7 linked regions of the Xenopus tropicalis genome follow. The protein of the gene in region 1 purifies or fractionates together with the protein of each later gene. This does not show direct contact. Links are inferred from orthologs where the notes say so. Each region holds a gene or a part of one and is shown in the gene's direction. Other genes may lie near its edges.

What was found.
Region 2: the proteins of cbx5 (region 1) and znf462 purify together in Homo sapiens (affinity purification with mass spectrometry; 3 studies listed by BioGRID and IntAct, counting the BioPlex papers as one, with this or other methods). This does not show direct contact. The link is inferred for Xenopus tropicalis from reciprocal best matches to the Homo sapiens genes CBX5 and ZNF462.
Region 3: the proteins of cbx5 (region 1) and adnp purify together in Homo sapiens (affinity purification with mass spectrometry; 4 studies listed by BioGRID and IntAct, with this or other methods). This does not show direct contact. The link is inferred for Xenopus tropicalis from reciprocal best matches to the Homo sapiens genes CBX5 and ADNP.
Region 4: the proteins of cbx5 (region 1) and champ1 purify together in Homo sapiens (affinity purification with mass spectrometry; 6 studies listed by BioGRID and IntAct, with this or other methods). This does not show direct contact. The link is inferred for Xenopus tropicalis from reciprocal best matches to the Homo sapiens genes CBX5 and CHAMP1.
Region 5: the proteins of cbx5 (region 1) and senp7 purify together in Homo sapiens (affinity purification with mass spectrometry; 3 studies listed by BioGRID and IntAct, with this or other methods). This does not show direct contact. The link is inferred for Xenopus tropicalis from reciprocal best matches to the Homo sapiens genes CBX5 and SENP7.
Region 6: the proteins of cbx5 (region 1) and chaf1b purify together in Homo sapiens (affinity purification with mass spectrometry; 8 studies listed by BioGRID and IntAct, with this or other methods). This does not show direct contact. The link is inferred for Xenopus tropicalis from reciprocal best matches to the Homo sapiens genes CBX5 and CHAF1B.
Region 7: the proteins of cbx5 (region 1) and ahdc1 purify together in Homo sapiens (affinity purification with mass spectrometry; 3 studies listed by BioGRID and IntAct, with this or other methods). This does not show direct contact. The link is inferred for Xenopus tropicalis from reciprocal best matches to the Homo sapiens genes CBX5 and AHDC1.

Annotation. Positions count from the first base shown.
Region 1 is NC_030678.2:145,616,254-145,620,634, forward strand, and holds the start of cbx5 (chromobox protein homolog 5), read left to right. Parts: upstream 1-1,529; 5' UTR 1,530-1,675; intron 1,676-4,381. Other genes in the region: hnrnpa1 (heterogeneous nuclear ribonucleoprotein A1), read right to left, coding at 1,006-1,020. UniProt on the Homo sapiens protein: Component of heterochromatin that recognizes and binds histone H3 tails methylated at 'Lys-9' (H3K9me), leading to epigenetic repression. In contrast, it is excluded from chromatin when 'Tyr-41' of histone H3 is phosphorylated (H3Y41ph).
Region 2 is NC_030677.2:120,584,366-120,588,797, forward strand, and holds the start of znf462 (zinc finger protein 462), read left to right. Parts: upstream 1-1,427; 5' UTR 1,428-2,302; intron 2,303-4,432. UniProt on the Homo sapiens protein: Zinc finger nuclear factor involved in transcription by regulating chromatin structure and organization. Involved in the pluripotency and differentiation of embryonic stem cells by regulating SOX2, POU5F1/OCT4, and NANOG.
Region 3 is NC_030686.2:35,649,356-35,653,851, forward strand, and holds the start of adnp (activity-dependent neuroprotector homeobox protein), read left to right. Parts: upstream 1-1,630; 5' UTR 1,631-1,959; intron 1,960-2,756; exon of another isoform or gene 2,757-2,854; intron 2,855-3,968; 5' UTR 3,969-4,105; intron 4,106-4,496.
Region 4 is NC_030678.2:111,847,730-111,852,235, forward strand, and holds the start of champ1 (chromosome alignment-maintaining phosphoprotein 1), read left to right. Parts: upstream 1-1,498; 5' UTR 1,499-1,627; intron 1,628-4,506. UniProt on the Homo sapiens protein: Required for proper alignment of chromosomes at metaphase and their accurate segregation during mitosis. Involved in the maintenance of spindle microtubules attachment to the kinetochore during sister chromatid biorientation.
Region 5 is NC_030678.2:105,170,010-105,173,717, forward strand, and holds part of senp7 (sentrin-specific protease 7), read left to right. Parts: intron 1-540; coding exon 541-638; intron 639-1,077; coding exon 1,078-1,223; intron 1,224-1,701; coding exon 1,702-2,044; intron 2,045-3,708. UniProt on the Homo sapiens protein: Protease that acts as a positive regulator of the cGAS-STING pathway by catalyzing desumoylation of CGAS. Desumoylation of CGAS promotes DNA-binding activity of CGAS, subsequent oligomerization and activation.
Region 6 is NC_030678.2:12,925,807-12,929,514, reverse strand, and holds part of chaf1b (chromatin assembly factor 1 subunit B), read left to right. Parts: intron 1-390; coding exon 391-475; intron 476-1,006; coding exon 1,007-1,100; intron 1,101-2,242; coding exon 2,243-2,312; intron 2,313-2,431; coding exon 2,432-2,520; intron 2,521-2,647; coding exon 2,648-2,810; intron 2,811-3,627; coding exon 3,628-3,708. UniProt on the Homo sapiens protein: Acts as a component of the histone chaperone complex chromatin assembly factor 1 (CAF-1), which assembles histone octamers onto DNA during replication and repair.
Region 7 is NC_030678.2:78,101,296-78,105,003, reverse strand, and holds part of ahdc1 (AT-hook DNA-binding motif-containing protein 1), read left to right. Parts: intron 1-1,096; coding exon 1,097-1,134; intron 1,135-1,428; coding exon 1,429-3,708. UniProt on the Homo sapiens protein: Transcription factor required for the proper patterning of the epidermis, which plays a key role in early epithelial morphogenesis. Directly binds promoter and enhancer regions and acts by maintaining local enhancer-promoter chromatin architecture.

The DNA of each region.
Region 1 (4,381 bases):
TAAGACCCTTTCCTATTAATTTCACCCTCTACCCAAACCACAAAAAAAATAAAAAAAATTTAAAATAAAGCCTATCTTGCACTTAAGCAATAATCTATAGCAACCAACGAGATGTTTGGCCTTTGTTCAGCCAGCAGCAGGAATGGTGAAACTACCACTGATGTGTTGCTATGGGTTACTGCCTAGGTGCAAACTTGCCCAGTGATTAAAAAGGAGACTCGCTAATTGGGCAAAGTTAGCAGCCAAGCCTCTAGGTGGGGGAAGTGCACTGGTTAGGCCTAACCAACCCAAGCCTCTAGGTGGGGGAAGTGCACTGGTTAGGCCTAACCAACCCATTCACCAAAATGGTGAATCACCAGTTTCCCCTCCCCCACCGCGATACCATAAGGGTCATTTTTTTCTATAGGAACAGGTTTCATTTAAGTTGAATGTGTAGAAGCCATAAATAGCGAGAATAATAAGTATATTGTTAGCCTGAACATCGAAGCTGAAAACACGCGTTTTTACAAATCCGGGAATAAGTTTGCCTTTCTGTTACCAATTTGTACGGTATCCGAGAGAGAGGTATTCTTTTATTTATTGCTAGAGAATATCTAATATGTATTAAGGAGAGGCCTAATCATGTGTGGCGTTAGAGAAAAGGCGCCTTCCAGCTACGGGCCACAGCGCCGCCATTAAGCGAGTAGAAAATAGGCGGTACCATAGCGCCTCGCAGGGTGGAGCGCACAAAATGGAGTCAGACAAAGGAACTCTACGCAAAGCTTCCAGCTCGGCGTCTAAAGAAAATCCCCAGCCAGGGCCTACATGTTATTCACATAATTTAGTCGTTATCTAATATAGCCTGACCTACCGTAGCACTCTCATATATACAGCATACAAAAAAAAACCTGGCCCAAAAAGGCGCCAACACTCCTACTGATACTTATGCCCATAACTAGAAGGCGTAAAACTAAACGACTATGATAAAAAGAACCGAATGCATTATGCACTGGCGCTAGGCCTTACCTCGGACTTGTGCATGGTGACTCTCCCCGATGTTAACTCAACAACAGCAGAAACAAAAGAGAAGCGACAGGAAGGAAGAGTGGGGGATTATAGCGCAATGGCAATGTATATTTAGTGCGCCAGAATACGCCCACTTGCCTCCTAATTGGTCGCTGTCTGCGTAGGCATCGTCGATTGGGCAACTAGCGTGACGTTTAACTTCAGCGATTGGTTAAGACGTTGAGGAGGAGGGGAAAAGAAATCGGGTACGTTTAGTCAGTCCTTTTGTCCGGCCTAAGTGAGGTGCTGGTACGCCCCGTTTTCTCATTGGGCGAGTGATTATCGGTGTGCATATTTTATACAGAGATTTCCGTACTGGCCCGGTGCTCGTTTTATAGAAGTTCGGGCAGATTTGGTTCTAGCCATTGAAATTACATTTTATAGGGCCTCAACCTTTGGTTATGAATTCTGGTGAATGGTTAGGCTGCAGTATGGCACGGACTGGGCATAGTGTGTACCCGAGGAGGGGCATTCCTTTAGGCTGGAGGGCGGTGTTGCGCATGCGTCTAGTGGGTTGTTTTTGGCGGGGTTTGGTCGCTGGCTGCGCACAGTACCGCTCGGTAAGAGCCTTCACTCAATTCCTGCTAGCGAGCAGCTTTCGGTGGGCGCACGGTGTATTTCGCGCAGGAAGGTGAGTACAACTCGCTGCCTCCCACCCCTCCTCGGCCCTTCCCATTCATTGGCTGTGTGAGGTGCTGCTGCTGGCACTGTGCGAATAATGGGGTGCCCCGGCTTCATTGTGGGAGACAGGGACAGTGATGTGGGAGACAAGGGGCGCTGCTGATTGGCGGAAGCTTGGGGGTCATTCGCAAACTTTGGGAGGAACGTGTTGTACCGTTCAGCCGTGTAGCCGGGCAGCGACAGTGCGAGGCTTAACTTAGGTACTTACCTGGGGCTTACAGACAGCGCTGGGCAATACCCATTGCTCTCTCCCCCTGGTATTGTATCCTGGGCTGGTCCTATTGGACTATTATACAATAAAAACCTGTATGGCATGATTCTGTTGTATATTCTCTGTATACAGATATCGGGCATGGCCAACATCCAGCTGTTCAGTTGGGGGAGGTGTAGTACAACAGCTGGATGTTGATGTGAGTCCTCCATTCATTCCATCATCATTGTGTGTCAGCAATCACATATGGAACGTCTGCTCTTCTGCACCCCTCCAGCTGCTGTGAGCTATGTCTGCACATATCAGCCAGCAGGTCAGAATGGTGTAGTTCAGCAGGAACAGTCTGCCAGGGGTTGGGCATCCCTAACCCAAGTAAAACCATGGCCTGTGGCTATGGAAATGGTAATACATGCAACACGCAGTACAGCAGCTTTACACCAGGCACATAACTTACTGGTATCACTTGAAGCAGAAAAGCAGTTTCTATGCAGTTGTCTCCATAGGTTAAGGCTATTTGCAGCAATTCCACACTTTTCTGTTAAATGAAGAGTGCCTATATTCAGAAATTCTGCCCTTGGAGGGGGGCGCATGCAACGCAAATAAGAGCGTTGCAAAATGGCTTCAGACATCACTCAGACCAGCTCTAGGCATTTCTATCAATCTCACCTCCTGTAAATAAAGTAAATACCTTGCTTACATGAGGCTTGAAGGGGGTCTATGGCAGGAGCTTAAAAACTACTATGCTTACAACCAGCTAGGCTGCTACCTAGGGAAAATGAAAAATGTCCCTAGGGAAATGAAAGGGAACGTGTATTTATAATATGACAATACACTTTAAGCAACGGCATTCCTTTAAATAACCTTCACACCTGCATGCCAACACAGCAAGCTTACTAGGTGTAATCACTAATGCTAACCTATAACCATACCATCTGGCAATTCTGTAGATTCTGGCAAATGCCAGAGGGGCTGCAGTAAGGTGTGGTAGACAGTCACTATTTATTGGGCCAGTGGAGGGGATTGGGCCTCCGTGTATGTCAAATACCAGGGCCTATTATGAATCTTAAGGTGTCCATGCACTGGGCAATTTTAGCTGCCAATATTGGTCCTTTAGACTGATTTGGCAGCTTATCTGCCCATGCATGGGCACCAACAACAGGCCCCAACTGACATCTGACTTGAAATCGGGCAGGTTTGATATTTACATTGAATTGGGGACCGTGTCGGCTCGTTTATGCAGTCTCTGAACTGATGGTGCCTATGCCCACCATTCTAATTCAATTGTTTGGCCCTAAGTTGAATTAGCCCAATATCACCCACTCGTAGGGGGCCTATCGAGAGAATATCGGATCTTACGGTGTATGGCCACCTTTAGTCCAGACTCCCAGATAAAGTCTGCTGGAGTATAGGGAGTAGTAGTTGAACAGCAGGAGGTTCACAGGCTGGACATGTGGGCTTAAATGTGCCTTTGTATACTTTATTCTTAGACTGTAGACATCTTATGTATATAAACAGTAAACATGTATAAACAGTGGGCAGATTTCCACATGGGCAGTAACCCATAGCAACCAATCCATGACTGCAGATTGAACAATGAAAAGCAAAAATGTGGTTGCCATAGGTTACTGGCCAGTGTTCATAAAAAAGCCCCTGTACACAGTCTACTTTGGAAGGGCAGGTGACATCTCTGTTTACCACTTGACCACAAAGGGGTTAAGATAACTGAGTGAAATTGCTCTTAACTTTCACTCTTATGTACTGTTTGATGACTTTATTATTTCAGGTTGCTTTTGCAACTTAAGGTGGAACTCCACCCAAACACAACTTAAGCGTTTTAAAGAGTAACTTTGTAATATACATCAATTAAAAAATATGCAGCAATTTCATGATTTTTAATATACAGGTATGGGATCCCTTACCTGGAAACCCATTATCCAGAAAGTTCCGGATTACGGAAAGGCCAACTCCCATAGACTCCATTATATGCAAATAATTCTAATTTGTAATTCTTTTCTCTGTAATTATAAATCAGTACCTTGTACTTGATCCCAATTAAGATATAATTTAATCCTTACTGGAGGCAAAACAAGCCTATTGGGCTGTTAAAGTAGTCGACTGTTCTTAACCTGCAACCTCCAAATCCCACAATCCCCTGCCGACGTGATGTCAGTAAGCAATGGTACATCATAGTGCAGTGCATTGTGGGTTATGTAGTTCTTGCATGCTGTCTGTAAGCTGTTGAGAACTTGTTACTATTTGTAACATCAATGTTTTAGTCCCTCCTCTCCCACCAGGATTTCAAATGATGCAGAAAGGTAACTGTTTTGAAGCTGGATTTCAGCATATAAAAATGGTATTTGTTTATACTTTTTGAAGGAACAGATTACAGTGATAGGTGTATTAGGGGTTTCTGTGATGTTTGGGGCTCTTTAACAAATTTTCGGA
Region 2 (4,432 bases), on another chromosome or scaffold:
TCACTTTGGAAAGCTGGTAATCTTACAAATTAGCCTTACTTATAGACACCCTCTCTTAAAGGTGAAGGACAACCCTAGGACTACCTGCTCATCTGTTCTGAACACAATTCTAAAATTAGCAGAGATAACAGAAAGCTTTTGAACTTCACTGAGTCTTCAACATTATAAAATAATGATTGTAACTGATATTGTAACTCTTCTGTGGCAGTATGAGCAATTCTCTTCATACACATTTGAAGAAGTCCAAATATCTTGATTAAAGTGCTCATGCATTTAGAAAAGGAAACCTTTAAAAATACATACCATAGGGTAATGTGTATAATAGTTGTACCCTGTAATTAGCATTTTTTCAGATTGAGTTGTATTAAAGGTGAGGTATGGCCACCTCAGTCACAATGCTGTACTTGTTACATAAAAATTTCATATTAAGCAATATTACATTAAATTAACATCTCAACGTTATTTGCTCTTAATTCATTTAAGAATCTAACACATATATAGAAAGTACAGGGCACTGAAATAACCCATGAAACCACCTAAATTATTACTTATGTGTTTCTGCTTGTACTAACCTTGCAAAGACCAAGTGTTGATTAGTTTCTAAAGGTCACTGAACCAGGCTAAATCTGCCCATATTATAACATAAAGAAATATTACTTTTTATGTGATCTCTTATGTATTTAGTGTGTTGCTTCTGAGCCAAGTTCTCATAAAACAGAAGAGGCATAAGTTGTTTACATTATAATCCTTTAATAAAGCATGGATCAAAAAAGAATGTTTAAACTGTACACAGAAACTAAAGGGTCTCAATATAGGCTTTAATAGGGGCCTCAAAATCCTTTTCTAAAAGATATTATGGATTCTTACCATAAACATATTCATGAAGGTCTACTGATAGGAGAGCAACAGGACATCCCTAATGTATGTTACATTCATAGTTAAAATCCATAAAGTCCATTAGAAAGGAGAAATGTTGGTTTAGATGGTGCTACAACTAAACCCATGCCACTAGGGTGATAATAGTCCAGTCCTGGAATTAATACATTCTAATTCTTCTTTACTCTGAATGGTAACATAAAATGTCTGGAGTGGATCACTATCACCCTAATGACATGAGGTTAGGTGGCATCTTTGCTATAGTGCAGCCACTTGTCTTTATGTGGAGATGGACTAATATGACTGTCATCCTTTAATGAATATAAAGAATGGCTAGAAATACTGTTATTTTTATTATTTTGAAAGAATGTAAACATCTTGTTAGGAATGAGTCATCTTGTACTTCTTGCTTGCCTCTGCAGCTATTTGCAAAATAGCTCTTCTATATAACCAGATTATTTCTCAGGAGAAGACTTCAAAATACTTATCAGATTCTGTGAAAAGCCATTTTAAGTAACAAAAAACCCCAGAAAGCATTGGGGTAAAAAAAAAAAATGCTTCTAGTAAATGTGGGTTAGTGTCTGCTCTTGCAACGACCAGCGGGAGGTGTGTGTTGTGGAAAAGCTGTGTGGACAGTGCAAAATGATTTAAAGTAATCAGTAGAACTTAGCAAGCTTCATTTTGTGCAAATCATGGAGGAACCTCGCTGAACGGCTGTGACACGAGGTTCTCTCAGAACATATGACCATTGGATTGTGAAGGCAACAACTTTCCACAAGAAGCTCTTCCTTCACTTGCTCCACCTCCTGTTATTGTTAAAGAGGGGTCAGGTTGCGTGCCTCAGCCTTAAACTTTGGGCACTTTAGCCTTATCACCTTGCCCACCACTAGTTAGACCTCGGCCCACGCTTCTCCTGGTTGCCCAGGGCTGCTGAGGCTTTGTGTGGTGTCTCCTGGAGCATATGGGCTTCCATTGTATGGCTGCACGTTGCTGCAGATAGAAAGGCTTCGCGCACCCCCTGGTGCTCTCGCGTTCTGTGTGGTAGGAGATTGTCCTCTCTCGCTCTCTCCCTCTCCCTTCTGGTTGCTCATTATTCAGAGAGGGAGAGACACACACACATACTCAGTGAGAGAGAGAGAGAGAGACGGATCTTTCAGGTCATCTGCAGCTGCAGAGCAGCAGCAGCAGCCAGTGAAGGAGAAAGAGGAGGAGAAAAAAAAGCAGGGAAGATGGCGATCCTCCATTGCTGAGACCTGGCAAGAGCACGAGAGTCAACAAACAACTTGAGACAGAAAAGGCACCATCTCCACTGCGCGTTACCACAAGGCGACGGCACGCTAAACCCTAGCGAGTACATAGAGATTGGAAGGGGACAAGGAGCAGGACAAGGAAGAGGCTGGAGCTGCAGCGTCCCGGGCACTAGTCTGTAAGTTCTCGCATTGGACTCTCCTACGCTAATGGCCATTGTTCACTCGTTGTTTTAATATCTCTGGGTTTAATGTCTTCGCTGGCTGCGAAAAGTCCTATGGTTTGCGTTACCGGGGTCAATTATTACTGTTGAGTGAAGGGGTGGGAAGACTCTCATGAGCGTTTTGCTGTCTGGAGAAGAAAGGAGGTGGTGGTGGTGGATATGGTAGTAGGAGGAGGAGAAGGGCGGCTAATTAATGAATCCATTAATTGACCCCCTTCGTCAGCCCAAACACCCCCAAGTGGTGGAGATTAAAAGGAACCGGAGGATTAAATAAATTATAAAAAAAGAGGGGGGGGGGGAAGCGACTGGCAATGTTTGCATGCACTTGCTTGTGGAGAGTTTGATCAGAAGCTGGGGAGAGACCAATACCCGCACAGGGGGAGGAATTACAACATTACTGAGCTTGGTGGCTGCACGACCCAAGCAATAGGGTGACCTCTTTCTATCAGTTTGTAACCAACCCCCTTCCTCCCCAGTTCTAGAGGTCTCCTGTCACCCCCCCCCCCTCCCTCTTGAGCTGAGATGACATGGAAGGTTGAATTCTGGGTCGGAATCTCTTGTCTAGGAGGGAGGGATAGGAGGAGGGGGAGGTTGTCGCTTAGCTCCAGGCTGGTATTTCTGTAGGGTTCGCCTGGAGGAGGAGAACAAATTCTATTCCCTGTGGTTTTAACTGAATTTAGAATCATAAATGTAGCCAATAACACTTCCTGCCCGCTTTCATTTGGCCTCAGAAAGAACATGCCCACATGCTCAGAGTCCAAAGAAGTCCCTGCTCTGCCCTTTGATCTCATTGGCTGTCATTATCTCCCTGTCCTCCATTTTCAGGCTGTCTGGGTTGGTTTGTGTCCAGACTCCAAAGCACAAAGCTTCTCTAGCATACACCCTAGCCAAGCTTTCTCTGGTAACATTCCTCTCTTCATTGTAGCTTACTGTACTCAGCTCAACAGCAGCATAAGGCTAGACAACAGAAGTGTATTTCATGTCTTTTTATGAGAAGAGCCTTCAAGCTGGGGGTTTCCTTCAGCTTTTTTTCTTCTCTGTGTGGTTTCAGTAGACTGATTTCATGTTTTAAGAGGAAGTGGCTACAGTAGTTGTTGCAGAATGCTGTTATCTGAGTCAGGTAAGCCATGTCATGCTGTAGCTCCACCAGAAAATGGAGGAGAGCAGGATCTGAAGTAGACAAAATGAGGTGGTGACAAACAACAGTATCATGGATCTTTATCATCCTAGTGGCTTGCATAAAACATTACTTCTCAATAGAATTTATTTTTCATGTTGTGTAACACGTAGCCAGAAGATTGTGTAGGAATATTTTGGAAGTCAGCAGCTTATTTTTTCAGCATGTATTAAGATTCTTTTTGGTGGTCATCATCAAACTTCTCATATTATGATCAATTATCTGTACTAAATGTGATGTTTAAAAGCCTTAATGAGTTGTTAATGATGTTGAAGTTGAGGGTATTGGTATATGTGTACAGTGAGCAAGAAATATGATGTATGCCCAGGTAATATATATAAATATGGGCATATTTTTATCCTCGGTTGATCTCAGAACCTGATGATTGTGCATAAAATGTTAAATTATCCAGAATGCCCCTTGAAAACTTGATCCAAGGTATAGTGATATGAACATTGCTTTAGCAACACAAGTATGTTATAGAAATGCAGATAGTGGAATTCAATGTAACATGAATTTGATAGCATAGTAAATTTCAGGTGGACACTCTCCTCTTCATCTACAGTTGTATGTGGTAATACTCAATAGTGATGGGTGGGTCAGAAAAAACTCAATTCACACCCAACCCTAACCTTCAAAACCTTAACCTACACCCATCCCACAAAATGTTGCCATTGTAGGACCCAACCCATAAAATGTTGCCATTATAGCACCTACACCCAACCTTCTTCATTTGTTACTTCTGCCTGCAGCTCTGGTTCCAAGACAGGGATTTTTTTTGGAGCATACTTCCCCACAATATTTGCTCAAATTAGTTTTGGGTCAACACGCACATCCCTAATACTAAGCCATTGTCAATTGTAGCTATTGTTAACAAATCCATCAAATTTAATATTGATCTAATACCA
Region 3 (4,496 bases), on another chromosome or scaffold:
GCTGTCAGTTTAGCCATCATTAAGATGGCAGAGGGAAAGAGAGCCTCATTAGTTATGAGAACTTGGGTATTCTAAGCAATCCCACAAAACTAGGGGACAATATAGGAACTGAGACTGTACTTGCTGGTGGGTCTGGATTATTCTGATCAGCAATCAAGATATGTGTTGGTGCCCACTATATTCCTGGATGAACTGGATTTTTTTCTGTATTACCTTTCCTTCTTCACTGATGAACTTTATCAATTGCTTGTATGTGTTAAGCTGTTGATTGGGACATTCATGATTTTATTAAATTTTGTATAATCTTCTTTAATTGTGAGTACAATTTTAAGTAATATATAATTTTATTTTTTTGTTTTTTTAATATACTGGTTGGTGATGGTAACTGTTGGTTTATTGCATTAAATATATACTTGAACTGTACTTTATTATATTTAAGTCAGTTTATGAATATGTATCACGTAAAGATCCACTGAACATTATAGGCTGGGTGGGGCATTGTTTAGACAACACATAAAAGACTGCAACACAGTGGAGCTGACGGCAAACACTGGAATTAAATAAAAGGCTTGAAGTCAGATTAATCATGTTTAGGGTTATTGGTCCTTTGAATTAAGTTGTCTTCATTTTTCAATAATTTCAATTAATTTTTCAATCAATTCAATCAAATGCTTAAATACATTTGCCTATTTTTTTTTATAATAAATAGGCCTGTTGGTAGTGCCCATACAGATGCGCTGCTAAATTGGTCTGAAATTGGCAACTTAAATAGGCATGTGTATTGTTACCTTTAGTCTAGAAAATCAGAAGCCCCAAGAATAGAAGGGCAATGGCAAACCAAAACTACTTTAGTTGAAAGAAAATATTCCAGGTCCCCAAACATACCATGAAATAGGGTCCTGATTGTATCAGAGAATGACTTTAATGCTTGGCTGTTGACCATAGAAAGCAGCTAATTGGCTTTGAGGGCACCTATATGCACAATGGGTTACTAACTAGCAATCAGTTCTGCTAAAGGTGCTGATGCTTTGCAACTGCCAGAGGGATGCTGTGGTACCTACTATATTGGCACCATAATACCTAGCTAAGGGATTTTACTTGTCATTTGTTAGATCCTCAAGAACTACAGTGACCACTGGCTGGAAGATGTCACCTCCCTCCAAAGAGACCATTGTAAATTGGCAGTCCTTGGCAGCCATTACTGTGGCCAACTTAGTTTCCCAATGAGCCTCTTTCCACAGAAGTGTAACTCATGGGATGCTTACTTCTTGCTCCTGATATAGTGCCAGTAGCAATGAAATTGGCACCCAGTCAGGGAGCTGCCCTACCAATCTCTTCCCTCCACACCACCCAAACCACATGGCTGCAGCACTGAGAACCCAGCACCACGTGACCAAACCCATAATAGTGCCGGTGGCGAAGGGATACCAAGAACACCGCGCATTCCCACTGTAATTTTTCTGTCTTTGAAGTATCCGTCCGCAAAAGGCGCCCCCTAGCGGTGAGAGGGAGATTATCTTGGTGACCCGATTTTCTCTTTCACCCCCAAATTCCTGCTGGACAAGATCCCCTTTGTGCATGCCCATCTCCCCGGTCCCCAGGTGCGCGGCTGCAGTGGAGTATTTGTTTTTTCCCGGGCTCCCGCCAGCTCCGGACAATGAGTCCCCCCACCCCTCCTTCATGCTAATGAGCGCTGACGTCACTTCCGCTCCTTCGCGGCCGCCATTTTGGCCAGGGCAGGATCGGAGCCGCTGCCGCCGCCGTGCTGTATTGTCTGCAGGAGGAGGAAGTGCACCCGGCGGAGTCACAGCTGCAGCCACCGGCACCGGGAACTGACTCCACCCCCTTCCCACACACAAACACGGGGCTCATGCTCAGGCGCATTGCCTGGCACCCCCATATCCCAAGGGGCCATAGGCTGCCCACCGCCTCGGGCTGACAAGCAACCCCCCGGCTCAGGTATGTCTGGGGCCGTGAGCGGCGTAATGGTTACAGGGTGGGTATGTTGGGGTGCATCTTCTCATGAAGTCGGAGTGCCTAACGTGAGGTAGAACTAGAACTCCCAGATCCCCCCTATAGAGGATGATGGGATTTATAGTTCAGGAATTGGGGGGGGTGACAGGGGGTAGAGCAGAGCTAGTTACGGATAATAAAGTTACTGGTGGTGTGAGGAACAGATGGAAGTTATTAAGGATTGGGGAGACACTGAGGGCTGCAGGAAGTGCGGGGCACAATGGAGTTGGTGGAAGTGCAGAGAGTGTGAGGGACACAAATAGGGGATGGAGATAGTGTGGGGACAGATAGGCAGGCTGATGGGCCCAGTGGGCAGGGGGCATACCTGGCTATTGTACTGAGCACTCACATCTGTGCCGGGCAGCTCTGATTGGATGCGGATAATGATGGTTGTGGGGACAGACTTGTTACTTTGGGTGTAGGGATGGGGGAGGTGCCAGTATGAGTCCTGTTGCCCCCATTGCCACTAGCTGGGGTGCCCCAATGGGATGTGTGGGTGGGCACCCTGCTGCTGGGGAGTTCCAGCCTGACATGCAGTGCCGGTGGGAGCTCGGCTAGAGGGGTGCCGGGCATGGAGGGGCACAGGATCCGGCTGTGGGTGCAGCGGGGGGCATGGGGTTGGCGCTGCCATGCTACATAAATAGAACTTCGTATTGCGTGCAGTTATGAAGCCGGAGGGCCGTACCTCGGGCATCCCAGTGGCATGAAGGCAAAGGGTTAATATATGGGAGGGGGTGGGGATAGGGGCTGCCCCCACCCTCCCTTGTCTGGCTGCTTCTGCTGCAAAAAGGCGCGATCCTGTAGGAGGAACCTTTAAACCAGCATGCTCCCCTCTCCCCAGGTACACATGGGCTGGCCGGCGCTAGGGTTTAGCGGCAGGTGGGCTGCACCACTCCCCGTAGTGGGGGTCCATCACAAAGGCGCTCGATCCGAACTGCTGCCGGTGTTTTCCTGCGCTGCACATGGCCTGCTGTCACAGTGATGGCTTCGCATTAGTCATGCACTTTAGCGCTGTTTGTTTTCTCTATTTGCACGGCTGCGAGCTGTGGCAGGGGGGAAAAAGGGGAATAAAAAAAATAACAGGCAGCCTCCACCCAAGATGCACTGCAGCTAGAAAATGGCGCCTCACATTCCAGTAGGGGGCGCTTGCTGTGCGCCGGGTAAGGCGCTGGGGTGGGGGGATGGGTAGACTGAAGCAAAACTGGAAGCTGCTGCACAGCGCCTCCTATAGGTTTGGGAGTGGAATGCGGCAGGGCCCATGACAGCAGCATTATGCACTGCTTGTGCAGAGAGCCAGTGATTCACTCCCACATTCCCTAGGCCCCTCTGGTGCTTCTAGGTGCAGGCTCTAACTTATCCCTTGTTTGTTCAGGTTTTGCCCATCACTAGTGTAGAGCATGGATGCACTGCTTGGGACCTTCTGAGTGCTACAGTTCCCAGCATCTCTGCTAAAGGCTGCTAGTGATGGTTCAGCAACACCTTAAAAACTATACTTTGGATACCTGGGTATAGCCCCCCTGTCACAAAACTGACTTGTCAAATTGGTGCCTTTTCTTACTCATGGCAATTTACTTTACTCCTTGTGTCCATTAGGGCTATGCACCTCACATCAGATTATGCCAGCTAGTTATTTACCACTAACTTATCCCTTGTTTGTTCAGGTTTTGCCCATCACTAGTGTAGAGCATGGTATAGTGTATTCAATAACAACACCTTACCTTACTTTTAGCATTTTTCGGGTTCAACGTTTTGTGCAACTTGTGCAGAAACAGAACTCCCAAATTATAAAGAGGGTGGCCCTGGGAAGGGGGTGAAACATAACTGAACTGATAGACTAATGTATCAAAGCACTAACCCAGTAAGTGGCACTATAGAGGGGAAGAGTAGAATCAGAGGGTACTGTAGTTTTTAAGAAAATACCATGTGCTTAAAATTCAATCATTTTCTCTCTACAGGTGGATAAATTCATTGGCACTTACACTTTTTCCTTGGATTCCTATCTGCAGCACCTTGCACTGTGTGGGACATACAGCAACAAACTGGCGCTCGGATCATCATTTCAATCTTCCTTAACTTTATTTTGACATAAAAGGTTTGTTTTCATTTCTCCTTTCTACCTCTAAGCTTTTAGAAAAGAAGGATGGTAGTAAGGACTGTGTTTTTGCATGGCATGTTAGAGGACCCTGGAACCCATGGAGTGAAGTGTCTTTAGTAACCATCATTATTTATCAACTGTGTAACCATGCTTTAAAGTTAATTACTACTGAAAAACAGTTCTTTTGACTAATAAAAGAAAATATAACTTAACTTTTCAAAATACATGCATTCCTGATTTCATTAGTTTTAAAAGTTATGTGTAAATGTTATTAATGTTGAAAGCTGTATGTGTTGATCCATTTTTGTTCTGCGTCAGCCATCCTGCAGGTCTGTTACCAGCTAGTTTCTGCCACGTTTTTACATATGATAACCAGTAGTGCAGAGAA
Region 4 (4,506 bases), about 34 Mb from region 1:
ACTAGTACTAACTGTAGATATTAGTATCACAATAGCCTTGGATATTCTGATTGATCAAGAACTCATCCAGGCCCCTCTTAAAGGCATTAACAAAATCTGCCATTACCACATCTCTTGGAAGGGCATTCCACAACCTCACTGCCCTCACCGTGAAAAACCACCTACGCTGCTTCAAATGGAAGCTCCGTTCCTCTAATCTAAAGGGGTGACCTCTGGTGCGTTAATTGTTTTTATGGGAAAAAAGAACATCCCCCAACTGCCTATAATCCCCTCTAATGTACTTGTACAGAGTAATCATGTCCCCTCGCAAGCGCCTCTTTTCCAGAGAAAACAACCTCAACCTCGACAGTCTCACCTCATAGTTTAAATCTTCCATCCCCTTGCAAAAGTGAGCCACTTAAAGGAAAAGTAACACTAACATTTTTAAAGTAAAAAATCTATTCTACCCTGCCCTAATAATTGCCCTATCCTGCACACCATTTATACGATAGCAGGTATTTTAGGTATGCAATTGCAGCATTTGCTTGAGGAGTGTTGGGCCTATACATGTGTTGCTGTTGGGCCCTCAGTTAACAATTTTACTAAACTTTCTTTATGGAAATCTTGTTCCCATCATTCGCCTGAGGAAGATGTGTTACCCCCAAGGCCTCAGTATAAAGATCTGTGTCATATTAATGCACAACCACTGGGGGCTCTTCACCTCTATGTGCCAAAAGGAGTCTTTTTACCTAAGATTTCATCATTTCATCTGACTCTAGTTTGCATAAAAACTCTTTCCTTCTTGGTCAAATTGGTAAAAAGGCTCTGATGACGGCAGGCACTTCTGGCAGGAAACAAATGTCTTGGAAGCTCCTGACACCACCACAAAAAAGACTAAAAAGATTACTGTAGGTACCCATTAGACTCTCCTAAAGGCCATACATTGTCCCAAATTGTGAAAAATACTGTCCTTGTCTTTAAATACTGGAGCAGAACTCAAAATATCAATGTCTAGGTAACTTGGCGACAGCCAGTGTGGGCCAAGTCATTCCTGAAACAGTGGAAACTGGGCCAGCATGGTACTGAAGGTGGTTTACTTGGTCAGTTTCTTATTCGTGCCTTGAAGTTGTTTTGTTCCTGAATTGTGAAAATTCTGCCCATTGTGTGTGTGGAACCATCAAAGTATAATTAAACTAAAAAAAGTGACTTCATTTCAACCACCCCCAGTTTGCACAAAAATAAAGTTTTCTTTTTCTGTCAAATTAACAGAAGAGGCTCCGACAGCACCATGTACAGATGGCAACCAGAAATAAATAAAATATATATATATATTTCTTTTGTTCCCTAGCAAAAAGCGTAACTCTAAGCAAAAATATAAATGGCTATATTGGGAGTGCATGGCGAACAACCAACATGAAACAAAAGTTTGTTTTTCTATTATTTGTTTTCTAACAAAAGAAGGCGGTACGACCACGGTGTCAAAGTTACGCAGTCTCCGCTAGTCACTTGCGCAATGCGGCTACGTGATGCGTCACTGCGCTTACGTGAAGTCGTGATGCCAGTCTCGCGTGATGAGACGGGATTTGGCGTCGGGATTTTCCGCAAGAGAGGCGGCCAGGAGCTTGCAGTTACCAGCTTTGTGGTAGGTGTAAGTAGCGATCTTGGACTGTTGTTATAGGAAAATAGGTGTGTGTGTTGGGCAGTCTGCACTTATTTGGGCTAGTTTGACCCCTTTCGCTTAGAGAGCTGCAGACTCCGTAAGGGGCAGGAGCTTAGAGTGCAATATGCATGCATGTTCTTTCCCTTACACAGCTTTCAGTAATGCTCTTTTTGTCACGGAGGTTTTAGCCCCGTAGAGCTGCACAGGACTGGGTGGGTGGGAATGCGATTCTATCGGGCTAAAACCTAGCTGCTTGGGTTAGAGAGATGTTTTCTATTAGTAATTACATCCTTAGACACTGGTTTGTAATTAAGCACAGAAAATAGGGACATAAAATCTAAAATACTAGTAAAATGGGGTAAAAGAAAGGACAGGAAAGTAGTGATTACCTTTTTAGCAATGTTTTTTCGTCTCCATAAGGGCCTGGTACAGATTTGCAATGTATCTGCAATGCATCTCAATGTAATAGAGATGTCCCCTTCTGTGGTGATCCTACCTGCCATTCTCATGTGCCTCAGTGCCGAGAGATGCAAACCATTGTCATTCTCATGTGACACAGTAGTTTTATTTTCTCAAAACATAAGGACTGTACACAGTGTGTATACAAGTACATTATCCCATTTATTCATTGTTTGAAAACATGTGACAGACTCCAAATAAAGCTCGATTACAAAAATGTATATTATATGTAATAAAGAGTGGCGTGGCGATCTGACCATCGGTTGCACGAAACATCGTCAGATCCGCCACACACCATTCAGGGCTGAATCGGCAGGTAAGGAGGTAGAAACAATAGGATTTCTACCTCCTTCTGCCGATTCAGCGCTGAAGGGAGATTTTGGTCAGGCGCCTTCTATGGCGCCTGATCAAAATTTTCAAACTGGTCCAATCGGCAAGTCGTCCGATATCAGCAGCTTCCTGCGATATCGGTCGACTCGCCAACATACCATACACGCACCGAATATCGTACGAAACGAGGTTTCGTATGATATTATCTGTGCGTGTATGGCTACCTTTACAGGTGCATTACAGTATAATTCATGCAATAGTAAAGTACTTTGTTTTTTATAATAACCTGATGATTTGTTTTCATTAGAAAAGTGGAGGTAAGATTAAATCAGGAAAAAATGCTCAAAAAAGCCACAATTCCTGTATGGCATGCAGTTATCTGTGCACGTGCAAAGTGCAGTGTCCTGGCATGCGGGATAATCTGTGAATTTACTTGCTCTGTATCCTGTATCCCCCAGGTATGGTACTTGGACTACATGCATTGTGGGCTGGTCACTTAGGAGGAACCCTGGAAGCATAGTTTTGGTTGCATGTTGGGGCAGGGGTGCGGTATTTTATTTGGCAGCCCTATTGTTACTTTTATATATATATATATATGAAGACAAGGCATATAAAATTGCACACAGTAAGGCATCATATTTATTTGCACAGTGTTTTATGGATCAAATACATTAAAATGGAACCCTACATAGAAATAGGGTATTTTCCCCCGTTAATGATGATTGTGATTTTTTTCTGACAATGTTTTCTTGTAATACTATACACAGTAGGCTTATAAAAGACAACAGCCTGTAAAATAATCTGAAAAAAACTTCTAACAGTGCCTAAGGATATGAGTTTGAATCAGTTTTGGTGATGTGGGATGTGTATTACATACGCCATACCTTTTGTCCACAGGCTCTTGTCTCTATATGGTTGTGGAACTCCTTGGCAAATTCTAATATCCTTACTTTTTTAACAGAGGGTACACCATTCCCTCTGTTAATTAATGCAAGTAGCATTAATTAACAAGTCATTCTCTTGTAACCCCCCCCCACTTCATTGGTGCACGCCATATATTGATATATATAAATTTGTGTGGACCTTGAGACCTGGGAGGACCCGTAGCTAAGCATTCGGCTCACATCGGTGACGTCACCGAAAGAAGGGAATCCGTGCTGTGCCGTGTGAAGGAGCTCGATCCTCCCAGTGTTTAGACCCACAGTAAGTTCCCGGCCGGGACAGAGGGTATTCTAGCTAACACCTGTAGGGTGTGGGGGATCTATTCAGCACCAGGTTAAGGTCTAGGAGGTGCCTGTACTTATATTGTAGCCTTTGGTGATACCTCACATTGCAAGCGCCACATGTTAGGGTGCATACACGAGTGTTTGCCCTTATAATCTTATTGGACAGTTTCCTTCCTAATTGGGTGTCCGTTTGGGAGTGAGCTCCCCAACTGGGGCCTTTTTTTCCCCATATTATTGCTGTATCCTTCGATTAGGCAGTTATGAAGTCGCAACTTTTCACTTAATTATAGACTGGGCATTTATGTAGTAATCCATCCCCTCCTGTGCTTAGTGTAGCAGTCTGTTACAGATTTATCCAGTATATCTGATTCATTTGGTAGTTCTTTTGCCTACCTTTTAACCAACTGATCTTATGTATATGTATTTTTAGTAATGCCAACGTTTAGTTTTTTTTAACCTATCCTCATATGAATTAATATATTGTTCCTATTTCATCCTCCATTGAACTGATAGGTTTAGTCACATTTCTCCATTTTAGCTTTTCAATTGAATTTCTGATTTTCACTTTATGTATTGTAATTATTTATATTTTTTAATACAAGGTTTATGTATTTATGTGAGATTATTTTTATTGTAATGAATTATTGTATGATTAAACACTAATAGATTGATATAAATTTATACACTTGGTAGTTTGTTTTTTGAGCGCCAACTCCGTTTCTTATTAATTAATGCAAGTAGCAACATTGTAGAAAGTTAAGTGTGTTATATGCATGTAAACCTAGCAATTATTTAGGCTTGCTTGGTATAATAAAATACAATCTAATTAAAGTTGTTTTTTTTGTTTACTCT
Region 5 (3,708 bases), about 40 Mb from region 1:
ACAACTGCACTGCTGTCAGTCAGACAGTGTACACTGCACCAGTGTATGGCCACTTTTAGACTAATGTCATTTGTAGTTAATTCTCTTACGGTAGCATGTGAAAAGAGCTGCTTCTTTTAGGTTTCAGCATTTCCTCAAACTGCATTCATAAACAAATCACAAGCAGGTGAATATGGATTATCAAAAGTCGCACCAAGCATAGGTTGTATTATGACAACTTTTACAGCTATGAAGTCTTCAGTTGCATTTTGTACCTTTGCTGCCATAAAGATCCACTTAGTTGATTCAACACTGGTTGAAGTTACTGCAATATGCACGTTACTTGCTTGGTTCCAAGTACTTATTTTCATCTAGCTAATTGAAGAATCACAATAGCTTGCTGGATCATGAGTAAATGTGCATGTGTGTGGTGGGACTGATTTGAAATTTACAGTCTGTTAATGGTATGGGGTATGTACTGAAATTTAGGATTTTTTTTCAATTAACTGTGATCCTCAAGTATGAATTTGACTATTTTGGTGTTTCCAATTTTATTTTAAGAAGTGAACTCTGGGGGGTATATAACGAGCCAAAGTCACCAAGTAAAGAAGAGCCCTGTGAAGTCTTTAAAGCAAGAAGGTGTTCAGTGGAACTGATAAGTAAGTTAAAACAAAAATGCTCTAAAAATTGTTGAGTCATTGTTCAAAATTAAAAACGAATATGTTATTCTTTTTACACTACTCTATTCAGCTAGAATGGGAAGTACCAACTGCACATGGGACCTGAATGGACTCCATGTGTGTAGAATTGAAAAAGGGGGCATTGTAAAGGAGAAAATGTGGTAAAGGGAGCTTTTTACAATAAATGGGGAAGCCAGTTCATTGGTTCATTATATAAATTGCATTACATATTAAACATAATCCCTAAGACTATGGTTTTTCTTAATCTATGTATATAGAGACTGACTTTTTCCCAGCTTTACTACATGCCCCATCCAGCCAAGGGAGAGAATTTGGCCCATCTGATGAATCACAAGGCTGAGGGATTTTACTGTTCCTGTAAAGAATGTTAAAGTATAACTTTTCTTTTCTTTAAAAGGAATTCAAGAAACAATTCAGCAAAGTAAAGCGTGTAGAGATGTTAGTAATACAAGCAATTCATCCCTAAAAGAAACGAACAGTAGAAGGAGTTATTACGAACAAGTTACGAGTGGGAGTTCTCAAAAGGAACCTGAACAAGAAACTGTAAGAACCATATTGAGCAGAGTGTGTTTAAAAAAACTTGTACAATAAAAAAGCATTAAGGGTCACTTTTTAACTTTGGAGGCATAACACTCTCACACCATTGTGCTCCTAAATGCCTAGGTCTATAGACTGGAGGGTTTACAACTGCAAATTTGGATGCCCTGCCTTATGACCAATTAAAATGATATTTAGGATGAATGATATTGCTCTGAAATAACTATATTTGGGAAGATATGAGTATATAATCCATTGCAGTGTAATGACCCTTGGTAATCCTCATGAAATGGCACAGAGTTTAGTTTTTGGGTTGAACCCAAAAAGTCTTAAAACCTCTGGTTGACATTCTGTACATAATTTAGCTCTGATATCATAATCACTGTTCTTGAAAAAAAACTGTATTTGTATTGAGTCTTTTTATAACATTTTAACTACGGAACTTATAGCACTAGTGAATTCTGTATTATCTGTTTATCTCTAGAAAAGTCCTGTGAATATGATTTCTTCTCCAAGTAAAAGCAAACGTGATAGAACATACTGCCAAAAACTTGCAGAACAGATGCATAATAAATCAAGTTTACTGCCAGAACAGGATTCTGTCTGTGTGAATGCCTCTCCTCTGGAAGAAAATTTGCACTTATCTACAGATTCACCCAACATTGGAAGTGTTTCTACATTGAAGAGCAACAGTGGCACCACATTAACTGGTGATATTTCTGGCAGTCCTAATTTAGTTAAGCATACATCAAATAATGTACAGTTGTTCAAAAGAAATGTGAAAACCCATATCTCCAATAAAGCAACTCCATCTTCATCTGAACCAAGTAAGAATTGTACTAACATTGGTATTGTGTCTGTTACAACTGTGACCAGGATTTGTCATGCAAAAACTAGAGAATGTAATTTATTTTACCATTTATGTGGGAGGTAGTATACAGTTAGGGGCAGATTTATTAACATTCTGATTTTTGTGGTTTTAGAGGTTTTTGAAACCACACACATCTACCAAAAATGTCTACTCATTTATTAAAACATCTAAATCAAAAAAGCATGAACAAATTAAAATGCGGAACATAAACAAAATAACAAATTTTCCATAGTTTTTACATTTTTTTACAAATCTTTGTGGATCTTTGTAAAAAAAACTGAAAACCTCTAAAACCACAAATTAAATAAAGATTTTTACAATTTGCCTAGGACAACTCCCATCAACTTCTACATGACCACAACAGATTTTAGATGATGATTTAGATAATGATTTTGTATTTCTGTTTTTCTTGCCTTACTTGCCTTAATCATACAAAAGTATGCAGGATATGCTCCTGTTTTTATGATCATGCCAAAATGTGATAGAAAATTCTTTCTATGCAGATGTTCACAGAAAAGAAATTTTGCTTGCACATTTAAGAATTATTTGTACTTATCAAGCCATTCTGACTTGGGAAGACTGCTTGAATCTAGCTTCTCACTGGAACTGCCATTAACAAGTTTATGCCAATGAACTAACAGGCTTCTTTCTTTTAGAAAGATACTGGGAAGCATTCCGTTTTCTTTCCTTTACATACACTGTCCACACTGAGTATCTTTATTTTCAATTGGCTATCCGAAATTAATTACCGTATTTTTCGCCGTATAAGACGCACTTTTTCTTCCCCAAAATGGGGGGGGAAAAGTTGGTGCGTCTTATACGACAAATATACGGTACAAATATATGCACACATCCCCCGTGAATGGAGGTGAGCACGGGCGCGCATGGACACATGTCCGTTCAATCGCGCATACCTCCCCCGTACCTCCCTCCACTTGTCCTGCCGACACTTGAGCTGAAGCTGAAGATGTAACGCGCACGCACTCACCTCCGTCCACAGGGGGGCGGGGTGCGTGCGTGTTACATCTTCAGCTCAAGATCACCGCACGGCCAATCACAAGTTGCTCAGTACAACCCAGTCGCGCTGCATTTTGGGATATGTAGTTCTAAGGAGGCGATTGGGCACGGATGGGCTTGTCATGAGTGGCAGTCTCTGGCCGTTCTGGGGAAGCAGGATGGGACCAGCAAGGGGCAAGTCATTGGTGAGTAGGAGTGGAAGTGTAGTGGCCATTGTAACTGTGTAATAAGAGTGTAAGCTCTTCGGGACAAGCCATTAGTTAAGTACAAGTAACCCCTTTCCCTGCCTACCAGCGCCTATGCACCAAGTAAGTCCTTTTCACACTGCCTTTTGCAGTATTTGGTTCAGAATCTTTTTTTTCTAGATATTCCTCCTTTAAAATTGGGTGCGTCTTATATGGCGAAAAATACGAATATGAAAATATGAATTTTTTATTCAATGACTTTATCAATGCAACTCTGAAAGAGGTATATGATTATACATTTATGTCAATGTTATACAAATGTCTTAGAAAATTTATTTGAAAATATACTTTCATTTCAGGGGTGACACAAGCACTGGGAGGGTTTAATCTGCCTTCTGGGAGGAAAGGACACTAAAAA
Region 6 (3,708 bases), about 130 Mb from region 1:
AATCCAAGTCATTATATGTAAATATAACTGATATTACAAGCAGTATCTGTGTGACATTTTCTGCACTGCTGGCTCTAACCCCTAAAACAATGTAGCAGAAGCCAGCTGCTTAATGAAGCTGCAAGAAAAACTGACTTCTGCTACATTGTTTCAGTGTCAGAACCAGAGAAAAGAAAGGGGCAGGCAGCCTCTGCTTTCACTGGCAATTACATTTCCACATCAATATAAAACCAATGAAAATGCGTAATGGAACGTTGCTTAGAATTGTATTTTCTTATGCTGGAGTTGTCCTTTAAATAAAGGATTTACCTAATTATGGTTAAAATGGTCTTGGGTTGGTGAATGGCAGCCAATTCTGTGCAGTTCCTCACTCATGTGATTGTGTTTCAGGATAATGCGAGTTTACAAGACGGAGACCAAGAGAGTTGCTTATAACGTGAGCAAGATGGCGTCTGCTCCTGGCGCTGACGGAGAGGTATTGCCTTTATTCCCTCTGTGCCCGTTTTGGCTTCTACAGACTATTCTGTGCCTACACGTGGCTCTACAAGGGCTGATAAAAGCAGCCTATGGACTGAGTACGGGGCCCTTCAATGGGCCTATTCAGTCGATATCTGGGCAGTTTGATTTTCCCATTGGATCAAGGACCACATCAATGCACACATACAGTCCTCAATCCAGCGGGAAAAATCAAAGTGCACAGATATCAGCATAGCAGCAATTATGATCCAAGGTCAGACAATTGGATCAACCCAATACCACCCAACCCAGGGTGGGCATATTGGAGAACGATTTGCTTGTTTGGTGGCCTCGGCAGACAAGCAGATCTTGCAATGTATGGGCCAGCTTCAGACTTGCACTGATTTCACCTTTGTAACATATGTGCTCTGATTAGTGGCCGATTAGCAGTATCCTTGCATGATTGGCTCACATAGATCTTATATATTTTAGTCTTTGTCTCCCCCCTGGGGCGTGTCAGAATTATTCATTAGTTTTGTTTTCATGGCAGGTAAAAAGTTTCCGCATGTACCATGATGACAGCATGAAGTCCTTCTTTAGGAGATTGACTTTCACTCCTGATGGATCTCTGCTTATAACCCCAGGTTTGTACCCTGTGCCTCTCTATGTGTCCCACACCTGCCATGTCATTCTCTATGGGATGCTCCCCCTCTCCCCAAGTAGCATTCATTATTCTGTTCTAGTGCAATTATATCTGAGAATAGATACCCTCTTCAAGGACCAGCAATCTGTGGGTTCTGGCAAATGCCAGAGGGGCTGCTGTATGATGCCGTAGACAGTCACTATTTATTGGGCTGGGGAGTGCTGTTTTGGCCTCCATGTACTTAAAATGCCAGGGTCTGTTTTTAGTCCCAGTCCAGGCTGGTAGTCACAAGCTGCTAATGAGTCCGGCTTCATGGTTACACATTCTGTTGCATGGTAACGCGTGGCTGCAGTTTATATAAACAAAGTTGCCCTGCACTGGTAAAAGTTGTGTGTGTGCCTCAGAATCCCTACTATAGTTTATATAAACAAAGCTGCTGTGTAGCCCCGGGGGCAGCCATTCAATTTGAAAAAAGGAGAAAAGGCACAGGTTACATAGCAGATAACAGATGCGTTGCATAGATTCCCATTGTATTCTACAGAGCTTATCTGGTATCTGCTATGTAACCTGTGCCATTTCTTCTTTTTTCCGGCTTGAATGGCTGCCCCAGGGCTACACAAGCAGGGTATTTATATAAACTATAGTAGGGTTTCTGTAGCAAACACCCCAGCTGTACCAGTGCAGGAATGGCTGCCCCTGGGGCTACACAGCGGGGTATTTATATAAACTATAGTAGGGTTTCTGTAGCAAACACCCCAGCTGTACCAGTGCAGGAATGGCTGCCCCCGGGGCTACACAGCGGGGTATTTATATAAACTTTAGTAGGGTTTCTGTAGCAAACACCCCAGCTGTACCAGTGCAGGATTGACTGCCCCCGGGGCTACACAGCGGGGTATTTATATAAACTATAGTAGGGTTTCTGTAGCAAACACCATGGGCATATTCTCTGCCAGCATTTTTCAGCAGGCAAATAAGTACACAGATATGCAAACTAGTTGTTGCTAAATTTTTACTCCCATGATCCTTAGTTAAGGGTGGTCACAGGCCCAGACAGCTGGAAGTTGTGCAACTGCACAAAAGCAGCAGGGGAAGCAATTCAGTGTCAGTGTTGCGTTCAGCTTAGCTCTGTGCTCTTGCTTTCAGCTGGCTGCGTGGAATCCGGGGAGTCGGTCATTAACACCACGTACGTCTTCTCTAGGAAGAACCTAAAGCGGTAAGTTCCTGGATGTATAACCTGTGATTGCCAGCATCCTCCCAGCAACAATATCAGAAGGGTTGCCCAGCTGAATGAGCCCCTTGTCTTCTGATATATTTCTTTCTTTATCTCCCTAGACCAATGGCACATCTCCCCTGCCCAACAAAGGCCACCCTGGCTGTGCGCTGCTGTCCTATTTACTTTGAGCTGAGACCAACTGTAAAAGGTATGATCCTAGGGAGCATCACAAAGCATGCTGGGACATCCAGAGATTAAACCTCTTATCCCAGGAACCGGGAGGGGAAAATGTCAATAACATGAAATTAAATTATTATTATTTATTTTTTAAAAAGATGATTCTGGGGAGTCCCAACCGCAGGGTCTCATCACCCAGCCATACCGTATGGTGTTTGCTGTCGCCTCAGAAGACGCTGTTCTATTCTATGATACACAGCAGCTGTTCCCTTTTGGCTACGTGTCTAATGTGCACTATCACACACTGAGCGATATTTCATGGTATGTACATGTACAGATTATCATATCAGGGCACTAAAGGCTCCCTGCCTATACCATACCCAGCCCCTAGGTTACATGTTTTACTGACTGAGAAACTCTGAATATGACCAATGTATAGGGGCAGGTACTACAGTTTCCTACATGTCCTTCCAAGCACCCAAAAGACCTTGAGCTTATAGGGTGCTACATTGAACACCCCCATTAAAAGGGTGCTTCACCCCTTAATGTTAACTTTTAGTATGTTATAGAATGTTCTATTCCTAGTAACTTTGCAATTGGTCTTTATATTTTGTATTATTTGCTTCCCTCTTGTACATCTTTGCAGTAAGGCTGCAATTTTACTATTATTATTACTTATCATTTTACTCTCCTTTTCATATTCAAAGCTTTCCACCGGTGACTCCTATTGTTGCTGGTGAAAAGCTGTTTCGGAGTGGTAGTCACCCGTGATAGCAGAGATCTATCTCTTAGCCACTGCCACCCTAACCCACTAACTGGCTGCTAAGGTAAACAAGACCCTAACAACCAGATAGCTGCTGAAAATCCTAACTGGAGTACATTTAAACAAACTGCTAAATAAACAAGACCATAAAAAATGAAAACCAATTGCAAATTGTCACCAAATATCAGTCATGCTAAAAGTCAATTTAAAGGTTAACCAGCCCGTAGTAAAATTTTAGTTTCTATAGTTACCGGTCTGAAAGCTTCCAGGAAAGGAAGAAAAATTGACCATCTGATTTCAAACCTATATTTTCTCCATGTTATCAGTTCTAGTTTCTGTACTTGGGGTTTCACCCTGTGTTTGCCTGTGCCACAGGTCCAGTGATGGCAGGTTTCTAGCCATCTCCTCCACCGACGGCTATTGCTCCTTTGTGACCTTTGAGGAGGGTGAGCTTGG
Region 7 (3,708 bases), about 68 Mb from region 1:
AGGGGGCTGAATAATTACGCACAACCCACTTTGCAGTTATTTATTTGTAAAAAAATGTTTGGAATCATGTATGATTTTTGTTCCACTTCTCACGTGTACACCACTTTGTATTGGTCTTTCACGTGGAATTCCAATAAAATTGATTCATGTTTGTGGCTGTAATGTGACAAAATGTGGAAAAGTTCAAGGGGGCCGAATACTTTTGCAAGCCACTGTATGTATAATAATATATATATATATATATATATATATATATATATAATTCTTCTCGAAGGCACTCACCACTTACAAGGCATACGCCGGGTGCTCACCAAATCAAATACATATACTGTACATAGAAGGCACTCACGGCTCCAAGTAGTTCAAAGAGTAACATAATTTATTGCTCCACACTCATATATATATATATATATATATATATATATATATATATATATATATATACCTTAAAAAGACAAACGTCACCGCACTCATCCCATAGTGTAAATTCCGGTGCTCAGCAACTTCAGGATACCGTCATGTCCCTCCACAATAGATACAGTTGAAAAAGATGCGGCACACATTATTTGCAAAAGAAGGAATCACAAAAGGTATTATGTGATGTGATTCCTTTTTTTTTTTTATACACACACACATATATATATATATATATATATATATATATATATATATATATATATCCAAAAAAGACCAGCAACACCGAGTTATGTTCCAAAAACAATCAATTGTGTATTAAAAACGCATGAACAGCCAACGTTACGTTTCGGTCCCCATCGGGACCTTTCTCAAGGCAACCATGCTAACCAACCCCATGTTCTACTTATCCATAGTGAACCAGCAAAACGTTGGCTGTTCATGCGTTTTTAATACACAATTGATTGTTTTTGGAACATAACTCGGTGTTGCTGGTCTTTTTTGGATATTTAAATCATTTACCTTGCACCCGAGCTAAGAGGCACTCTGCTTCAGCTCTATATATATATATATATATATATATGTAAAAAAAAATATACACACACCCAAATCAATTAGCACTTATAGCCATAGGTTTTTCTAGCCAATGATAATGATAATTTCAAATTTTCTCTGTTCACAGAGACACCAAATACAGCGGAAGAAGTACAAAACTGCAGAGTAAGTATACAGCAGTCAAATGTCAAATTTGCTTTTCATCCATTTGCTTTTCATTTCCTTGATGTGGGACATCTTAGGATGCCCATTATTCAGTCCCTTAAAACCTCATAATGAATAAGGTTAATTCAACTATTGTATACATGAGGAAGTCAGTCTCTGGCCAACTAGTTTTTTCCCTAATGTATTTCCCCTAGAAAGTTTGTGCAACTGCTCTGTATTCCATAGAATCCGTCACTACATTTTATATATGTATTGTACATTCACTTTTAATTTATTTTTATATTTGTTCATTAGATTCCTCTTTGGCCCATCCGGAACCCAATCTCTCCTCTTCACAAGAAGATAATTCACGTCCTCCACGTAATGAGGCCTGGAGCCGTGCCAACAAGCCACTCTGCCGCCCATCAGTAGGCCCCCCCAGACTGGGAGTAGATGGAATCATTGCTTTGTTGAAGAGCAAGTGCGGTAATGGACGCGTGAACCTACAGCCTGTAGTGAGGTTGATGGACATCATGAAAGATCTCAGCCAACTGTCTAGTGATCTACAATCTAGTGGTGTACGTTTGGATTGCACCCATGTTGCAAGCTCCCCTTCAGAGTCAGAAAATGCAGAACCAGGATTACAATATAGTTTCTTCTCATCTCAGAGTTTGGCATGTGGTCTGAGAAGCCCAGAGGAAAAGCCATCTGAGACTGTCGAGAAAGAGCCAGTTCCTGTTTCTCCCAACCCAGACTCCATGGAGTCTGCCAGTTCAGAGGTCTTGAGAGAACTAGCAGCTCTAGCCTGGATGGAACCTCAACAAACAGAGAGCAAAGGGGAGATAGAGGAGAGGATTGAAAGGAGACTGGAAAAGGTGGAAGAAACTAGAGGCCAAAATGAAGAGACATCAAAGGAACTTGACCATAGTGAAATGGAAGATGTGGGGCCTAGAGAGGAAAAGATCACTAAACAGGAAGATGATGAGTCAGGTGAGGAACCAGATGAAAGTAAACATGAGGATGAATCAGGGGAGGAACAAGATGGAAGTAAACAGGAAGATGATTCTGGAGAGGAGCAAGAAGACCTTAAACAAGGAGAGGAATCATCGGGAGATGATCAGGAAGAGAATAAACAAGACGAGGACTCATCTGAGGAAGATCAGGGGGAAAGTAAACAGGATGAAGAATCATCTGAGGATGAGCAGGACGAAGGGGCTGGGGACAATGAGGCAGAAGACCCAACAGATGGCAAAATGAATGAACAGGGTGATATAACATTAGTCCAGGAAAATCAACTTAATTTGAAAGATATGGGGGTAGCAAGCCTAGATGCAGATTTGAAAGAACAATCATCTGATGAGGAAAGCAGGGAAGATGAAAGCAAACAAGAAGAAGAGAAAACAGTAGAAAGGGAAGTACTCATGGAGACACAAATGGAGCAGTTGCCCTGGATGCTCCCGCTCTTTTCTCCTTCGGTTGATAACATCAGAAGAATCTCCTTTTCTCACCGTGGTAGATTTGGTCACAGAGGACGCAGGGGTGATAGGCCTGGTAGAGGACGGCGAAGAAGACCAGGTAGGCCACGAGCTTCAGAGAGCCTTTCAAGGGCATATGTGATGCCACCCTATCACCGAACCCCTGAAGAGCCAAGGGCATATCGGCTCCATGAGCAAAGCTTACATTTTACACACTCCATTAACAACCCCCCCTCCATGGAAACACCTAAAGAAGAAGGCCCCCCCAAAAAGCCAAAACGCAAGGGAGTTCGCAAGATGGTGGTTCGGATTGCAAAAATCCCCATGCCTGTGGGTAGAAGAAACAAAACAAGTTACAAAGTGTCTTCTTTCAGCAGTACATTGAGTGTGGAAGGAGGAGAACTGATAGGTGGGTCTGGCCCTGGTCCTACATCACTTCTCAAAATGAAGAATAATGGGCGCAATGTTGTCATGGTGTTTCCACCTGGTGAACTCCCCATCATACTTAAAAGGAGGAGAGGAAGGCCTCCAAAGAACCTTGTGTTAGCACGTGAAACCCCTCCAATGCTGCCCCAGCCACCCCCCAAAGAACCTGCAGCACTGCCACCTCCAACTTCCCAGCCTCCCACACCATTACCAGAGGGTGAAATGGTCAAGAAGCGGCGGCGAAGGAAACAGAAACTTCCATCTCCCCAGCCATCATATGTGGCAGATGCCAATGACAGCAAGTCTGAATATAGTGATGTGCTGGCAAAGCTTGCTTTCTTAAACAGACAAAGTCAAACAGCTGGGCGCAATTCACCTCCCCGCTGCTGGACTCCAACTTTGCCAGAATCTGTTCACCAAGCCCCTGACACTCACAGCATTTCACAGTTTCTGCACAGAGTGCAAGGTTACCGCAGGCGAGGTGGGCGTGGAGGTGGCCCAGGTCGGCGAGGAGGATGTAACAGCCATAACCCAGAGTTGTCCCGTTGTTCCTTCAGTGACTTCTTTGAGGGTATTGGTAAGAAGAAGACCAAAGCAAGGCCTGTTGACCCTCTAAAGCCACGGAAACGGAGACAGCCGCGAGCTGAGCCAGATCCCAATGCTAAGCCCAAGCGCAAGAGGAGATCACGTAAGA